2 linked regions of the Anolis sagrei genome follow. The protein of the gene in region 1 purifies or fractionates together with the protein of each later gene. This does not show direct contact. Links are inferred from orthologs where the notes say so. Each region holds a gene or a part of one and is shown in the gene's direction. Other genes may lie near its edges.

What was found. The genes of interacting proteins can lie anywhere in the genome.
Region 2: the proteins of POLD3 (region 1) and SPRTN purify together in Homo sapiens (affinity purification with mass spectrometry; 3 studies listed by BioGRID, with this or other methods). This does not show direct contact. The link is inferred for Anolis sagrei from reciprocal best matches to the Homo sapiens genes POLD3 and SPRTN.

What each region holds. Positions count from the first base shown.
Region 1 is NC_090023.1:5,090,994-5,098,144, forward strand, and holds the start of POLD3 (DNA polymerase delta subunit 3), read left to right. Parts: upstream 1-4,140; 5' UTR 4,141-4,285; coding exon 4,286-4,345; intron 4,346-6,104; coding exon 6,105-6,160; intron 6,161-7,151. UniProt on the Homo sapiens protein: Accessory component of both the DNA polymerase delta complex and the DNA polymerase zeta complex.
Region 2 is NC_090021.1:60,852,534-60,860,417, reverse strand, and holds the start of SPRTN (DNA-dependent metalloprotease SPRTN), read left to right. Parts: upstream 1-4,881; 5' UTR 4,882-4,926; coding exon 4,927-5,228; intron 5,229-6,386; coding exon 6,387-6,486; intron 6,487-7,884. Other genes in the region: EXOC8 (exocyst complex component 8), read right to left, coding at 334-942, 3,159-4,718. UniProt on the Homo sapiens protein: DNA-dependent metalloendopeptidase that mediates the proteolytic cleavage of covalent DNA-protein cross-links (DPCs) during DNA synthesis, thereby playing a key role in maintaining genomic integrity.

The sequences.
Region 1 (7,151 bases):
CGATTAGCCTTTATTGAGTTATTGGTTACATAGTTTGGGATGGTAAAAGGAGTGAAAGGAGCACACGGCTGTAAAGAGTCCCTGGTTGAGGCTGCTGCTGGGGCACATTTCATCAGTTGGCCCAACTTGGCATTCAGGAACTATGGAACTCCCTGCGGCTGGTCAGATCAGCTTGAAGGCATTGGTCTGGGATGCCCTCAATGACTGTTCCACATTACCAGAAGCGACTTGCAGTTTCTCAGGTTGCTTCTGACACGACCTATATATATATATAGATATAGATATATAGATATATAGATATAGATATAGATATAGATGTAGGCTGTTGAATATTTGAAATTTGGATATGGGTGCATCCACACTGCAGAATAAATGCAATTTCCTACCTCATTAACTGCCATGGCTTGCTGCAATTTAGTCCTTGGATTTGTAGTTTGGTGAGGAATCAGCAATCTATGCCAGAAAAGGATTGTACAACTGCAAATCCCATGATTCCATAGCATGTCAGTTAAAATGGCATCAAACCATATCAATTCTATAGTGTAGCTGCATCCCTTGAGATTATTTATTTATTTACTGTATTTGTATACTGCTCTTCTCAGCCCTCAGGCGACTCAGGAACTCCATGGACAAATATGTGACTTTTTATACACATTTTGAAAGGGTACACCTTTGTTATTGAAGGCTTTCTTGGCCAGAATCACTGAGTAAAAATGCAAGATTAGAAAAGTGGCTTAGTCACAAAAGCAAATGAATGCTCAAGAAATAGGTGTGTGAACTCCATCACAAGACCTGAGGATACCCGATAGACAATCTCTTACCAAATGACAATGGAATGTTTGTACGAACTCCAACCCGTTATAACTCAAGATTCGGGGCTTCCAAGAATGAAGAAGTGATCTTGCTGGTGAGCCCAGCTGTAAATAAAATCCTGCTTTTTTCCACTCCAGAAGACTCGGTGTTATCCTTAAACACTGACTGTTACATACTGGGGGATCAGACTTCCTGTGCCTCCTCCTGATTGATTGAGAAATGACCCAGCTAGGATCCAGACATAGATTGGCCAGGGGTTTCCCTTTCATCACAGATCGGAGGAAGAGATCCCTACGGCAGGAAGAAGAACAGCTCATTATTGGTAGGTCATAGAATCATAGAATCAAAGAGTTGGAAGAGACCTCCTGGGCCATCCAGTCCAACCCCATTCTGCCAAGAAGCAGGAATGTTGCATTCAAATCACCCCTGACAAATGGCCATCCAGCCTCTGCTTAAAAGCTTCCAAAGAAGGAGCCTCCACCACACTCCGGGGCAGAGAGTTCCACTGCTGAACGGCTCTCACAGTCAGGAAGTTCTTCCTCATGTTCAGATGGAATCTCCTCTCTTGGAGTTTGAAGCCATTGTTCCGCGTCCTAGTCTCCAAGGAAGCAGAAAACAAGCTTGCTCCCTCCTCCCTGTGGCTTCCTCTCACATATTTATACATGGCTATCATATCTCCTCTCAGCCTTCTCTTCTTCAGGCTAAACATGCCCAGCTCCTTAAGCCGCTCCTCATAGGGCTAGTTCTCCAGACCCTTGATCATTTGAGTCACCCTCCTCTTGTCAACATCTCTCTTTAATTGTGGTGCCCAGAATTGGACACAACATTCCAGGTGTGGTCTAACCAAAGCAGAATACAGCATGGGGAGCATTACTTCCCTGGATGTAGACACTATGCTCCTCTTGATGCAGGCCAAAATCCCATTGGCTTTTTTGGCCATCACATCACATTGTTGGCTCATGTTCACCTTCCTGTCCACGAGGACTCCAAGATCTTTTTCACACGAACTGCTCTCGAGCCAGGCATTGTCCCCCATTTTGTATCTTTGCATTTTGTATTTCCTGCCTAAGTGGAGTATCTTGCATTTGTCCCTGTTGAACTTCATTTTGTTAGTTTTGGCCAATCATCTCTCTAATCTGTCAAGATCGTTTTGAATCCTGCTCCCATCCTCTGGAGTATTGGCTCTCCCTCCCAATTTGGTATTCGTCTGCAAACTTGATGGTTCTGCTTTCTAGCCCTTCCTCTAAGTCATGAACGAAGATCCTGAACAGGACCGGGCCCAGGAGGGAACCCTCCTGATGGCACTCCACTTGTCACTTCTTTCCAGGATGAAGAGGAGGAAGCCTTAGGGAGAATCATCCTCTGGGTTCGTCCATTTAACCAATTCCAGATTCACCTTACTGTAGTTTTGGCTAGCCCACATTGGACTAGTTTCCTTGCCAGGAGGTCATGGGGGACCTCATTTGTTGCACTCCAGGAAAAGAATAATCCTCTGTCTTTAAACACCACACACTGAATAGGAAAAAAAAAAAAAAAACCAATCCTTTTATTGATGATAAGTACATGAACAGTAAAACAAAAGGCACTTTAAAGAAATGGGTAAATCCAATTAGGTAAGAAGATAAGTAGGAACAAATTAGTTGCTGGTAGAGTTCAGCGAAGTCCATAAAAGCAAAGTCCACACAACTCTAATACAATCCAGAAAATCACCTTTTTTATGGTGCTTCTTTTTTGACTTGGGTGATGGTTGGAGTTTTTATGTAGATATCTATCTGTGTGTGGGGGGTTTCTGTAAATTGTTGATCAGGTTTACGGATGACTAGAACATCTAGAAAAGGTTCCTGGACCACCTGAACAGCATCCATTCAAACATCCAGTTCACCATGGAAAAAGAAAAGGAAGGAAGACTGCCTTTTCTAGATGTACTAGTCATCCGCAAACCAGATCAACAATTGGCTCACACCGTTTACAGAAAACCCACACACACGGATAGAGATCTACATAAAAACTCCAACCATCACCCAAGTCAAAAAAGAAGCCCCATTAAAGCCTTGGCAGACCGTGCAAAAAGGAATCTGTGAAGCCCACCTCCTCCAAGATGAACTGGACCACCTCAACTGGGCTCTCCAGGCCAATGTAGACTCCACCTCAGACATCAGAAGAGCTGCAAGACAACCGAGAAGAAGCCACGAGAGTAAAGATGAAGATCCACCCAGAGGAAAAGGGTTCCTGCCATACATCAAGGGAACCACTGACCGCAGAGGGAAGCTGATGAGGAAACACAACATACAAACAATCTACAAACCCACCAAGAAAATCCAACCAATGCTCCGTTCAGCAAAGGACAAGAGGGATCCTCTCACCTCTGCAGGAGTCTACCGTGTACCATGCAGCTGTGGACAAGTCTACAGAGGGACCGCCAAACGCAGCATTGCCCAGACACGCATCAAGGAACATGAAAGGCACTGCAAACTACTCCAACCAGAGAAGTCAGCCATAGCAGAGCACCTGAGGAACCAACCTGGACACAGCATATTATTTGAGAACACAGAAATGCTGGACCACTCTCACAACCACCATGTCAGACGACACAGAAAAGCCATTGAAATCCACAAGTGTGTGGACAATGTCAACAGAAAGGAGGAAACCATGAAAATGAACAAAATCTGGCTACCAGTATTAAAAAAAACTCTAAAATTAAAACAGCACAAGAACAGAGGGAAAACAATCAGGGATATTGTCGAAGGCTTTCATGGCTGGAATCACTGGGTTGTTGTAGGTTTTTCCAGGCTATATGGCCATGTTGCCTCCAGAACCTACAACAACCCAATCAGGGACATCTAATCACCTCTCAAGAAAAGATTGCTCCAGGCACTGCCAGGCTATCAAATGCTAATCAAGGTGGTCAGTTGAAACATTCACACCTGGCTCCAGCAGACAAGAGTCCTTTGTCCCACCCTGGTCATTCCACAGATATATATACCTATTTTCCTATAAACCTATAGACCAATTTTCCCAGTTCCAATAGACCTCATAACCTCTGGGCATGCTTGCCATAGATGCAGGTGAAACGTCAGGAGAAAATGCCTCTAGAACATGGCCATATATAGCCCCAAAAAAATCTACAACAACCCAATATCTCTCTGTGCTTAAATTTCAGATGAGAAACCTACTATATTTTATTATGGGGTGCACTACTACAACTCCGCCAGTAGAGGCACTGCACCCTTCTGCAGCCTTTCCAGATTGGATTTCGCTTTTTGCCTTCAGGGGGGAAAAAAGTCCCTCGGGGGCTGCCGTCGGAGGCGTGCCTGCGTACGCGCGCGCGCCAAAGGCACTTTTTCCGGCGTGTCCCCTCGCGACCACCGTCGTTGCCATGGAGAGGCGGCCTAGCCAAGCGGCGGGAGTTTTCTGCGCGCGAAGGTGAAAAGGAAGGAAGGAAGGAGGAAGAGGAGGAAGGCAGGCAGGCATCATGGAGGACGAGCTCTACCTGGAGAACATCGACGAGTTCGTCACGGACCAGAACCGCGTCGTGAGTTTTGGGGAACCGAGGAAGGGGGGGGGGGGAGTTGGACTACAACTCCCAGCATCCCCTTCACACACAGACATGCCTCCAAACAAGGCCTAGCTTTGGATGAGCAGCACTATGATGAACTAAAGAGCTGGTTGCGGGTGCTGGGAGTTGTAGTCCCAAAACAAAAAAGAAGGGGGAACATTCCCCTATTATTAGTATCAGAATATATTATTATTATTATTATTATGTTTATTTATACACAGCTTTTTCTCTCCACAAAAGAGACCCAAAGCAGTTATGTATCTACTATTAGTATTACAAGCTATAGACCAGTCTCCTCCTTGTTGTATCACCTTTACAAAGTTCTGGAGAGACTTATTTTGCATAGAATTATGGAGAAAATAGACCCCTGTCTGATCCCACAGCAAGCTGGCTTCAGGAAAGGCAGAAGCTGCACATCGCAAGTGCTGAACCTGACTCAGCACATAGAAGATGGCTTTGAAAGGCAGCAGATCACAGGAACTGTCTTCATAGACCTGTCAGCAGCCTATGAGACTGTGAACCACCACCTCCTCCTGAGAAAAATGTATAGTATCACAAAGGACGACCACCTCACCCGCCTCATAGGAAACCTGCGTCACAGGCGCGTTTGGTGGGGGCGCGGGACAGGACCTTTTCTGTGGTAGCCCCCCGACTTTGGAACACCCTCCCCAAAGACATCAGGCAAGCCCCTACATTGGCAGTCTTTAGGAAGGGCCGGGCCAAATGTGATGGGTACAGATTAAAAAGTGCTGGGTGTGACAGTTGGTATGCCGGATTTTAGGGTAAGTGCAGTGTGCAGGCAATCTTAAAACTCTGATAAAGTGCTTCTGGGACATATTGCTGGAGTTTTCCTATTCTGGAAAGGCACATCGGAACAGGTGGTGCAATACCGGCTAAGCAGTGCAATTTCTCCAGTGGTGTAGGGCACAGACCTAAAATGCAGCATGTCTCATTAAGAGCCACATCCACTGTTTTAGTAGCCAAGCATAAGGGCAGATGTCTTCACTGTGTCTGGTTGTGATCCCCAGGTTGTGCCAGTCAGCTTTCGTATGATATTGTTTCTAGCACCCACTTTTTGCTTCATGTTCAGGCAGTGCTTCTTGTAGGTAAGAGCATGGTCCAGAGTGACTCCCAGGTATTTGGGTGCGCAGCAATGCTCCAGGGGGATGCCTTCCCAGGTAATAATCCTCAGAGCTCGGGATGCTTGTCTGTTCTTAAGGTGAAAAGCACATGTCTGCGTTTTAGATGGGTTGGGGATCAGCTGGTTTCCCCTGTAGTAGGCAGTAAGAGCACCTAGAGCTTCGGAGAGCTTCTGTTCTACCATCTCAAAGCTCCCTGCTTGAGCGGTGATGGCACGATCATCAGCATAGATGAAACTCTGTCCCTTCTGGCAGTGGCTGGTCATTTGTGTAGATGTTGAACATGGATGGGGCAAGCACGCTTCCCTGAGGCAGGCCGTTCTTCTGTTTCCGTCATCTGCTTCTCTGGCCCTGGAACTCAACAAAAAAGCTCCTGTTTTTCAGTGCTTGTCAAAGTTTCTTGGAATAAATGTCTGTCTGAATAAAAGTTTGCCTATGCCTGCCATATGGTCAGCTTAAGTTCGAAATGACTTGAAGGCACACAACATGAGGGTCTTATGAGCATCATCTGCCATTGTGTTATTATGTTTGACACTTCTACGGAGGCTGGAGTTGGTATTTGTTGTATGTTAAGACTGTTGTGTTTCCCATTACAGGTGACCTACAAATGGCTCAGCTACACCTTGGGTGTTCATGTCAACCAAGCTAAGCAGTAAGTATTGCTATATCTTGTATCTTATCTTCAACAACCAAAGTATAGGTATCAAGTTCAAACCTCAGAGGCTGCGAAAAGAATAGAGGCCTAAATTTTTATCATCGCACCAAATCACTGTCAATAGAATTAAAAGAATTACTGACTAGGGCAATAGTGGGACTCATGTGACCCTCAAGATCAGCCACAGCCAAGCATAATTATTATGGGAATTATTCAGAGATCCATGTAAGTTTGATCTCTCTCTGTAACGCTTTCTATCAAGAATCTACTAACCTTTGATCAATGAAGCTCTTATTTAAATGAACTTTTAAGAAGTTCAGATGCTGCTTTTCTTTTCTCGTCTCTTCAAAATCCAGTTAGACTTTCTAATCTTCATTTTGTAATGTTTAAACCATCTGTTTTGGCTTCGGCCTATACCTCCCACTCTGGGTCTGGATGTTCTGTGTGCTGGATTTTCACATGGCTCTTGGTTGAATGCCAAAAACTGAACATGAATGAAGGCCTAAGATGATTTATATGAGTCTGAAATGGTCGCTTTACACGAAGAAGGAAAGAAAATCTCCCAATCTTCAGAGTTCAGACATTTTGAAAGAGACTAGCTACAAGACTTGTGATACAAGGTCTTTTTCTTGTGCAAGTGTGTTGCTATTTGGGTGCATCTACACTGTAGAACTAACACAGTTTGATTCCACAACCTTGGGAGTTGTAGTTTTACAAAGTTCCTTATCCTTTTATACCAAAAAATGCTAATGCCTCATCAAATCCATTGGGGGACTTTGGAGAAGTTCCTTTCAGGGCCCTTCCTGACAAGCCCTATATCCCATGATCTGATCCCAGGTTTTTTTCTTCAAACTGGATTATGTGAGTCTACACTGCCAGATAATCTGGGATAAACAGAAAACCTGAGATCAAATCCTGGGATATAGGGCCTGTCTGGAAGGGCCCTCAGTCTCAGAGAAAGGCAAAGTCAGTTTTAATGTTTGTATGT
Region 2 (7,884 bases), on another chromosome or scaffold:
ATACACCTACACAACCAATGAATATTCATTAGTAGTTATTCTTGGTCATATTCTAATTAGCACAACCATGTTTGATTAACTTGTTAGGTTCCAGACCAAACCATCTCATGTGACCTAAAATGGCACAACCAGATCTTTGGAGGGAATGTGGATTTCCAACTATATTGTTTCTTTTAAGTTTTCCTTTTCTTTGCTTTCCCATTTCTTTTCAATACATTATCTGCTAAAGAGAACATTATCAGATTTGGCTACTATTGGGAGGGGGTTTGAAAAAAGTTATGTGTATACATGTATATACAAAGTTTAATATGAAAAGGACTGAGGCACTGCAGTTCACACCACAGAAGTAGTACTTTCAGGATTCACACGCATTAGTCTTGAAGCATTCCTCAGATCATGCAGCTGCTTAGCTGGCTTTCCAACTCCTTCTTCAAACCGCTTTTCCACCACAGGAAGAACAGTTTCATAAAGAAAAGAGGCATTCTGTCTAATGAATGTCTTCTTTTCAGGGTCTTGTTCACAGCGTAAACTGTAATCAACATGCTGGACAGCCACAAAGATGATCTCCAACAAACTTTCCAACAGAACCATGTGCAACTCTGGGAAGTAGAGTTTGAGAGCCTCCTCCAAGAAAGCCATGGTCTGTTTGGTGAAAGCCACAACTGTGTAGCTTAGGTTCACCCAGCAATCATCACCAGTGTACTGGTCAAAATTGGTGACTCCACAGCTCCTCATTTCTTCTCGAAGCTTCCCTAAAGCTTCTGGTGTCATTAGGTTCATTTTCCTCCACATCTCTTCAGAGTTGCGGTGCTTTGTGGCCTCAATGATGATGTCTTTGTAGCTTTGCAAAGCACCTTTGATATCTTTCACTAATAGGGTGTGAATGATGAAAGTCAGGTCCAGGCCAATCTCACTGAGTTGCTTGCAGTGTTCTTTTGCCACCTACAAAAAAAGGCACAATGCTAGTTTTTCCACACCTTCACACTAGTTGCACAACAGATCTCTCAATGCCCTAAAAGTACAGGGTTAGTCAAAATGCATAGGCCAATAAGCCATTTAATTGAATGGCTTATTGGCCTATGCATTTTGACTAACCCTGTATATGATTCTCCTACTACAAGCAGCAGGAAAATACACATTATATCAAGGTATATTTAAAAAGAAACTACCATATACTGTATATTCATGTGGACACACTTCAGAGTCAAGATTATGGATTTTGATATGACTACTGGATATGGTATGACCACTGGATAAGTTGAGGGTCATTATATGGAGAAAGGAAAGGACCATTACTGCTTCAGAGGGTCAGCTTCTTCCCCAACAAGGCATGCAAAAAGGTCAGAAGCGGTTCTCTTTCAATTCTTGCAGTACAAACTAAGCTCTCTTTTTTGCCACCCTACTCATTGAAGATGAAGGATCCTTTTTTATATAGGAGTTATGGCACAGTACTTACCCTGACCCAAGTTTGTTTGGGTATATTTTTCAATAAAATGTTTAGACGCATACATGTGTATTCAGTTAGTACTTTGTAAGATTTACTGAAGAGCTTTGATAACTTTGGAAATACCTGACTGAATAAAGAATTGCTCTCCCTCTCTGGTTCATTAAAATATTATGATATATACTTCTCAGAGCTTTTTAAAAGACCATTTGATAGTTATCCTTTAAGAATAGTTTATTTGGGTCTTGGATTTCATGACATATTCTTAGAATATGTAGTAATTACTCCTAGGAAATACCCAAATGGAGAATTTCATTTCACTAGAAGGAAGCCAACATATGTAGCTTCTCTCTCGGTTTAACCCAAAATTTTATTCATTTTATTCTGCTTTATTCTGCTTCATTTTTATTCTGCTTTCTCTCAAAATAGAGATTCAAGGAGAGATTAACCCCCACCCCCACCTTAGAGAACTATGCCGGTCTTCAACAAACTTGAATTGTGCCTAATTCCCTTAACAAGAATAGAACAAAATAATTGTGACTAAATTTACCTAAAGTGATAGGTCTCATGTCAATTTCAACATGCTTTCTGCATCAATTTCAAAATAGCACAGTCAACATTAATTTGAGCCATGTCAGGTCCATAAATCTTTAACATTAGTTTGTAAATAGAAACCTGCCATGAAAGCAGAAAGCAGTACATGACTCTGCATTTATTTCTATTTCTGCCACCATTCCAGCCATAAGAAAAAGACAATCTTTAACACACTCCACAGTGCTAAGAATTGAAGAGAAAGGAGTGGTGTTGGGATATAATTCTACCCATCCAATAATTTCCAGATGCGATTAAACTAAGTGCTCAAAGTGCTAGGTTGTCCTGACTATTGCAACCACTTGCAAGTTTAGTCCCTATATTCTCTGCTACGTTTTTCAGTACATACTGCCTTTCTTCGGCAGGCAAGCCACACCCTCACTTCTGTATGTGAACAAACCATTTGGGATAAAGCCAAGCTACAGAGGGAGTTTGTACATAACTTGTCCTCCCTCATCTACTAAATGATAAAAGGGCGGGGTTCTTTAGTGTTAGGAAGGCAAGAAAAACAGGTATTATCCTGCTGTGAAAAACAGCAATAGATCTTTAGAAAACATAAGAAAGCAAAACAGGAAAAATGACTGGAGTAATGCTGAGCATTGGGATGAGTGAACCACACAAAGCCACGGCCATCATAAATAACTGCCTACAAAAATAATATCCTGTCTCAGGAAGCTGGGCTAGATGACTCAATACTTTGCTTCCATGTTGCTTCTAAATTCAAGGACACTATTTGGAAAACGTTTCCACTCATGACGCCTTTTGACCTAAGAATTTTTTGTGGGTACACAAATATATAGAATAGGCATCAATAGATGTGAGAAGAAATCAGCACTTGTGAGGCTTGCTAAACAGGCTGATTTTCCTTTTTATGAACTATACCTGAAGCATCTTCTGTAGAATTACTGTGAACACTGCACAACAGATTTGTGCAAATGTCAAAACACCCACTAGCTGACATTCAGAAAACGTTTACTGCTGACAAATGTTTCTGGACTCCAACATTGAGCAAAGGGAACCCCGCTTGAGGTTGGGACCCAAAGTTTTATGAAGCTGTGATCTAGAGGATATGTAATTAAGGGTAACACAGTTTTTTTTCCATCTCATCACTTTGGGCCCTTACCTTTACACACTCAGCAGCAGTAGATAAGCTCTCCTTACTGTCAAACACCTGCTTGCTAAACGCATCCACAAACATCCTCATTGCTGATCGAGCCCAGACAACAAAAGCCGAATAGCACCCACTGTTGCCAGCAAAGTCCGTCTCAAACTCCTTTGCGGTCTCTAGCAGGCTGGTGAAGAAGACATGGCACAGCTTGTGAATGTACAGCAGAGTGGCACCTTCAATGCGCAACTGTCGGATGGCTGTGTGAACGGCCGCTTCCCTGTTCCGCAGGAAAAGTTCGCACGCCTTGGTTGACTGGCCCAACCGGATGAGCTGAGAAACAGCACGACGGGTTGCTCTGGGCCCACCTCGAAGTGACCTATCTGGAGAAAGCTCAAACACAAGCACGTCGGTGAGCTGCCTGATTCTCTCATCCACTTTTGCTCGTAACTCCCTGACTGGTTGTGTCAAGGGCTTATCCCCTAGATACTCATTCAGCTTATCCAGCAAGTCAACCGCCCCTTCGAAGTCTCTCTGAGCGATGCAGACATCCAAGTCTTCAGGCAACTCCTGAATCCACTCCAGGGAGAGATCCACCACTTCTTCCTCTGGGGTCCCCCCTTCCCCACTTTCCTCCTCATCCTCATCGAAGGGGTTGGTAGCCTCTGGAGGGGCTGGGGGAGGCGCACGGGCTGCCGGCACCTCCTGTTCCAGCCTCCGCTTCTCGCTCAGCACGCGGCTCCTCTTGGTCTCCTCCAGCACCTCCAGCCACTCTTTCTTGATCTTAGCGTTCTCGGCCTGGAAGATGCGGCTCTCGGGGAACATGAGCAGCTTGAACATGTCCTTCATGGGCGGGTTATCCTTGACATTGACGACGGCCAGGCCGTCCAGTGGGTAGAGGGCGTCGTAACGGTAAGTGCCCCGGCGGTTGGGCAGCCAGGCCGCCACCAGCAGGCAGTCGTTCATCAGGAAGGCGTGCACCTTCTGAATCTGGACCATGTGGTCGGCGTCGTACTCCACCAGGTCCCCGTTGTATACCAGGTACTTGCCGGGGCTCTCCGGAAGCAGGTCGCGGCAGCCCTCCACCTTCTCCAGGAGGGTGGTCAGGGTGCGCTGGCGGCCCTCCTCGCTGGCTGCCGCCTCCTTGGCGGAGAGGGGCAGGAAGGGGTTGGCGTGCGGGTCCGAGGAGGCAGCCCCGGCGGCTCTGTCGTCGCGGTCGGCCTGGAGGAGCAGCAACGCCTGGGTGACGGCCTCCAGGATGCCCTTCTGCTCGGTGAGGATGTGGCTGAGCTGGTACATCTCGCTCTCCAGGTAGCTGATCTCGCGCGCCGTCTCGATGAACTGCCGGTAGTTCTGGTAGACGTTGCGCTTCAGGCTCTGCGCCGTCTCCTCGCTCAGGGCCTGGATGCGCTGGCGGTGCTCCTGCAAGTCCCGGTCGCCGTCCGACTGCTGCGAGAGCTGCTTCACGTACTCCTCGGCCGCGTAGCTCCCGGACTCCAGCTGCCGCCTCAAGCGGCTCCCTCCCGCTCCTCCTCCGCCGCCGCCGCCCGGAGCCACCTCACCCAGAGACAGCGCCATGGCCGAGCCGGAGCCGCCAGAGACCAGCCTTCGCCGAGGAGGGAGAGGAAGCAAGGCGTCGCTGCGCCGGAAGCAGGGGCCGCCTCTGACCGGAAGGCCGCTTACGTGCGCCGCTGCGTAAAAAACGTCAAGGCGCCGCGCCGCAGTGACGCGAGGCGCGCGACTCTCTCCGAGGCAGGAAGACAACAAACCCTCGGCTTTACGGCGCATGCGCCGGGATTTGAAGGCGGAGGGCTCAACGAAAGGCTGTGCTCCAATGGACGGCGACTTCTTGCTGGCGCTGCGGCTCCAAGAGGAGTGGAACGCGGAGGAGGGCGGCCGCGCACGGGCCTCCCTCAAGGCCGGCCCAGCCTTCACCTCGCCGGCACGGCCGCTGTCGCTGGTGGACGAGAGCTGGGAGCTGCTGGATCCCAGCCCGGACGTGCGAGGCCTCTTCCTGCAGTTCAACCAGAGCCTCTTTTGGGGGGCCCTGGAGGCCGTGGAGGTGAAGTGGAGCCCCCGCATGACGCTGTACGGTTTCATGGGACACGTTGTGCCCCACACATTTTCTTATTCGGATTTATGGCTGTGTCCTTACCTCTTTTAAGGGGTTGGCTTAGCCCAGGCGTGGGGAAACTTTCAATAGAATCATAGAGTTGGAAGAGACCTCGTGGGCCATCCAGTCCAACCACCTCCCCAAGGCATAGTTCAGTAGTCAGAACTACCCTTGGCTCTCAAGTCTGGACTAAAATGTTCCTTTTCAGATTAAACCACAATCCCAGAATTCTCATACTAGCTGGATGTTGTAGGTTTTTTCGGGCTATATGTTCTAGAGGCATTTCTCCTGACGTTTCGCCTGCATCGATGGCAAGCATCCTCAGAGGTAGTGAGGTCTGTTGGAACTAGGAAAAAGGGTTTATATATCTGTGGAATGACCAGGGTGAGACAAAGGACTCTTGTCTGCTGGAGCTAGGTGTGAATGTTTCAGCTGACCACCTTGATTAGCATTTGATTGCCTGGCAGTGCCTGGAGCAATCTTTTATGGAAGGAATGATCTAGCTACATGCAGGAAATGTCCAAGTAAGAACATGCAGCCATTGGCAATTACTGTCAGTGATACATGCATCTTAAGCCCTAGAAGAGTCATCTTTCTTGGGAGCAGAGGAATCTCAGAAGTAAGGAAACCTTTGTGAATAAAAGACCTCAGGAGTGGGTAGCCGAATTCAGATAGGCCTGGAAACCAGGCTGTTTAATATCCTAGGTGATTTCTGTTGCTGGAATAAGTTTTACATGGAGTCTATCTCCTTAAAGTTACTTTTTAGTATTGACTTATGGATCCAAGTTAACACCTAACTCTTATATCATGCCTACCTTTTGCTCCCCAATGTCTGAACCTGACATTACTCTAACAACACTTATTAGATTGTATCCACTTTCACACTAATATTTGGCTACAGCTTCCCCTTGTTGATCAATAAACGTGTTGAAAAAAATAGGCACTAATCACAATCTTAAATTTTCTAACAAATTACTGTAAAAGAGAAAAGTCCTGATTATTTACCCCCAAGGAGAACAATCGTCCAACCTTCTATTTCAAACAAGGTAAGAACCCTAATGCATTATGAATACAGAACAGCCAAGTTGCAGTTGAAAGCAAATGTTTGTTGTTTGTGATTTATTATTTTCTAGATGTGCAGGAGTTTGCTGCTATGAAGGCCGTGGTGGAATGTGCTCCATTCGACTTAGTGAGCCCCTTCTAAAGCTGCGACCGAGAAAGGATCTTGTAGAGGTACTGTTGATGGTTGTCTTTGTAGAGAAACATCAAACAAACTGTAGTAAATTTATTGTAGCTAGCATGCCTGAACATTCAAATATGTCCAGAAGGCCCTTGAATGAATAGTTATCTAGCTCCTCACATGAGCATTTATGTTTGATGTCCTATTTGATATGAGTTTGTTCGGCCTCAACATAAGAACAAACAGATCATTTATCTTTGTTCCTTGAGGGTCGTTCCCAAAAGGTGTTGATGGGGGACAACTGCTTTACTTCACAACCATTGACTTGTGGGGTCCCCTAGGGATCAGTATTCCCCCCTATGTTGTTTAACATTTACATGAAGCCACTGGGAGAGATCATCTGGAGTTTTGGGGTCAGATGTCATCTGTATGGAGTTGTTGTTCAGCTCTCTCACTCCTTCCCACCAGTTACTAAGAAGGCTGTGATTCTATGAAATTTGCCCTCCCTCTGCTAGATAACGTGACTGCATTTGTGACTGAAAAGTGTATTTTGCTTTTAATGTTTTTGGTGTTCTTAGATGTTTAGAGGCATAGCTGTACTCAAGGTAGTACTCTGTATTTTGTAAGTGATTTTTGATCCTCTAGAACAGTGATTTCCAACCTTTGGTCCTCCAGGTGTTTTGGACTTCAACTTCCAGAAATCTTAGCCAGCTTACCAGCTGTTTGGAATTATAAGAACTGAAGTCTGAAGCACCTGTCAGACTAAAAGTTGGGAACCATTGCTCTAAAATGAGAGGATCCAGTGATTTGAGCAGCTGTCAAAAAGTAAGGTGGGTGTGATGCATGTAGCATATTGAAAATATTTTAACTTTGATTTCAAAGAAATATGCTTCTCAGATCTTTTACCTTTGAAACTTACAGAAGGAGAAGCATTACAAAATGAAATGCTCACGGTGGAATTTTTTTGTTTTGATGTAATTTGTTGTATTCAAAAACAACAAAAATATTAACAATAAGCCCTCATGTCATCAGTTGGGGACCCCTCCTCCCAGCACCAACTGCTGCTCTGGGCCAGAGTGAAGGGGGGGGGGGGACAGTTCCATCTTGTCTCCTGCATTTGTCATCAGTTAGGGACCACTCCCCCAGCACCAATTGCTGCTCTGGGCCAGAGTGAAGAGAGAGGGGGCCAGAAGACAGTTTTACCTTGTTTCCTGTGCTATGCTAATAATATAATATAATGTAGTGTACTATATTGTATATACATATAATATTTATAATATTATAATGTAATACAATATAATAATACTACTAACAATATGATATAATTATATATTTTATATTACATGTGATGTTACTAGTAATATTACAATATAATGGTATAGTACAATATAGTAATATATAATACTGATATTGTACTATGCTAATAATATATTGTATATATATATATATGT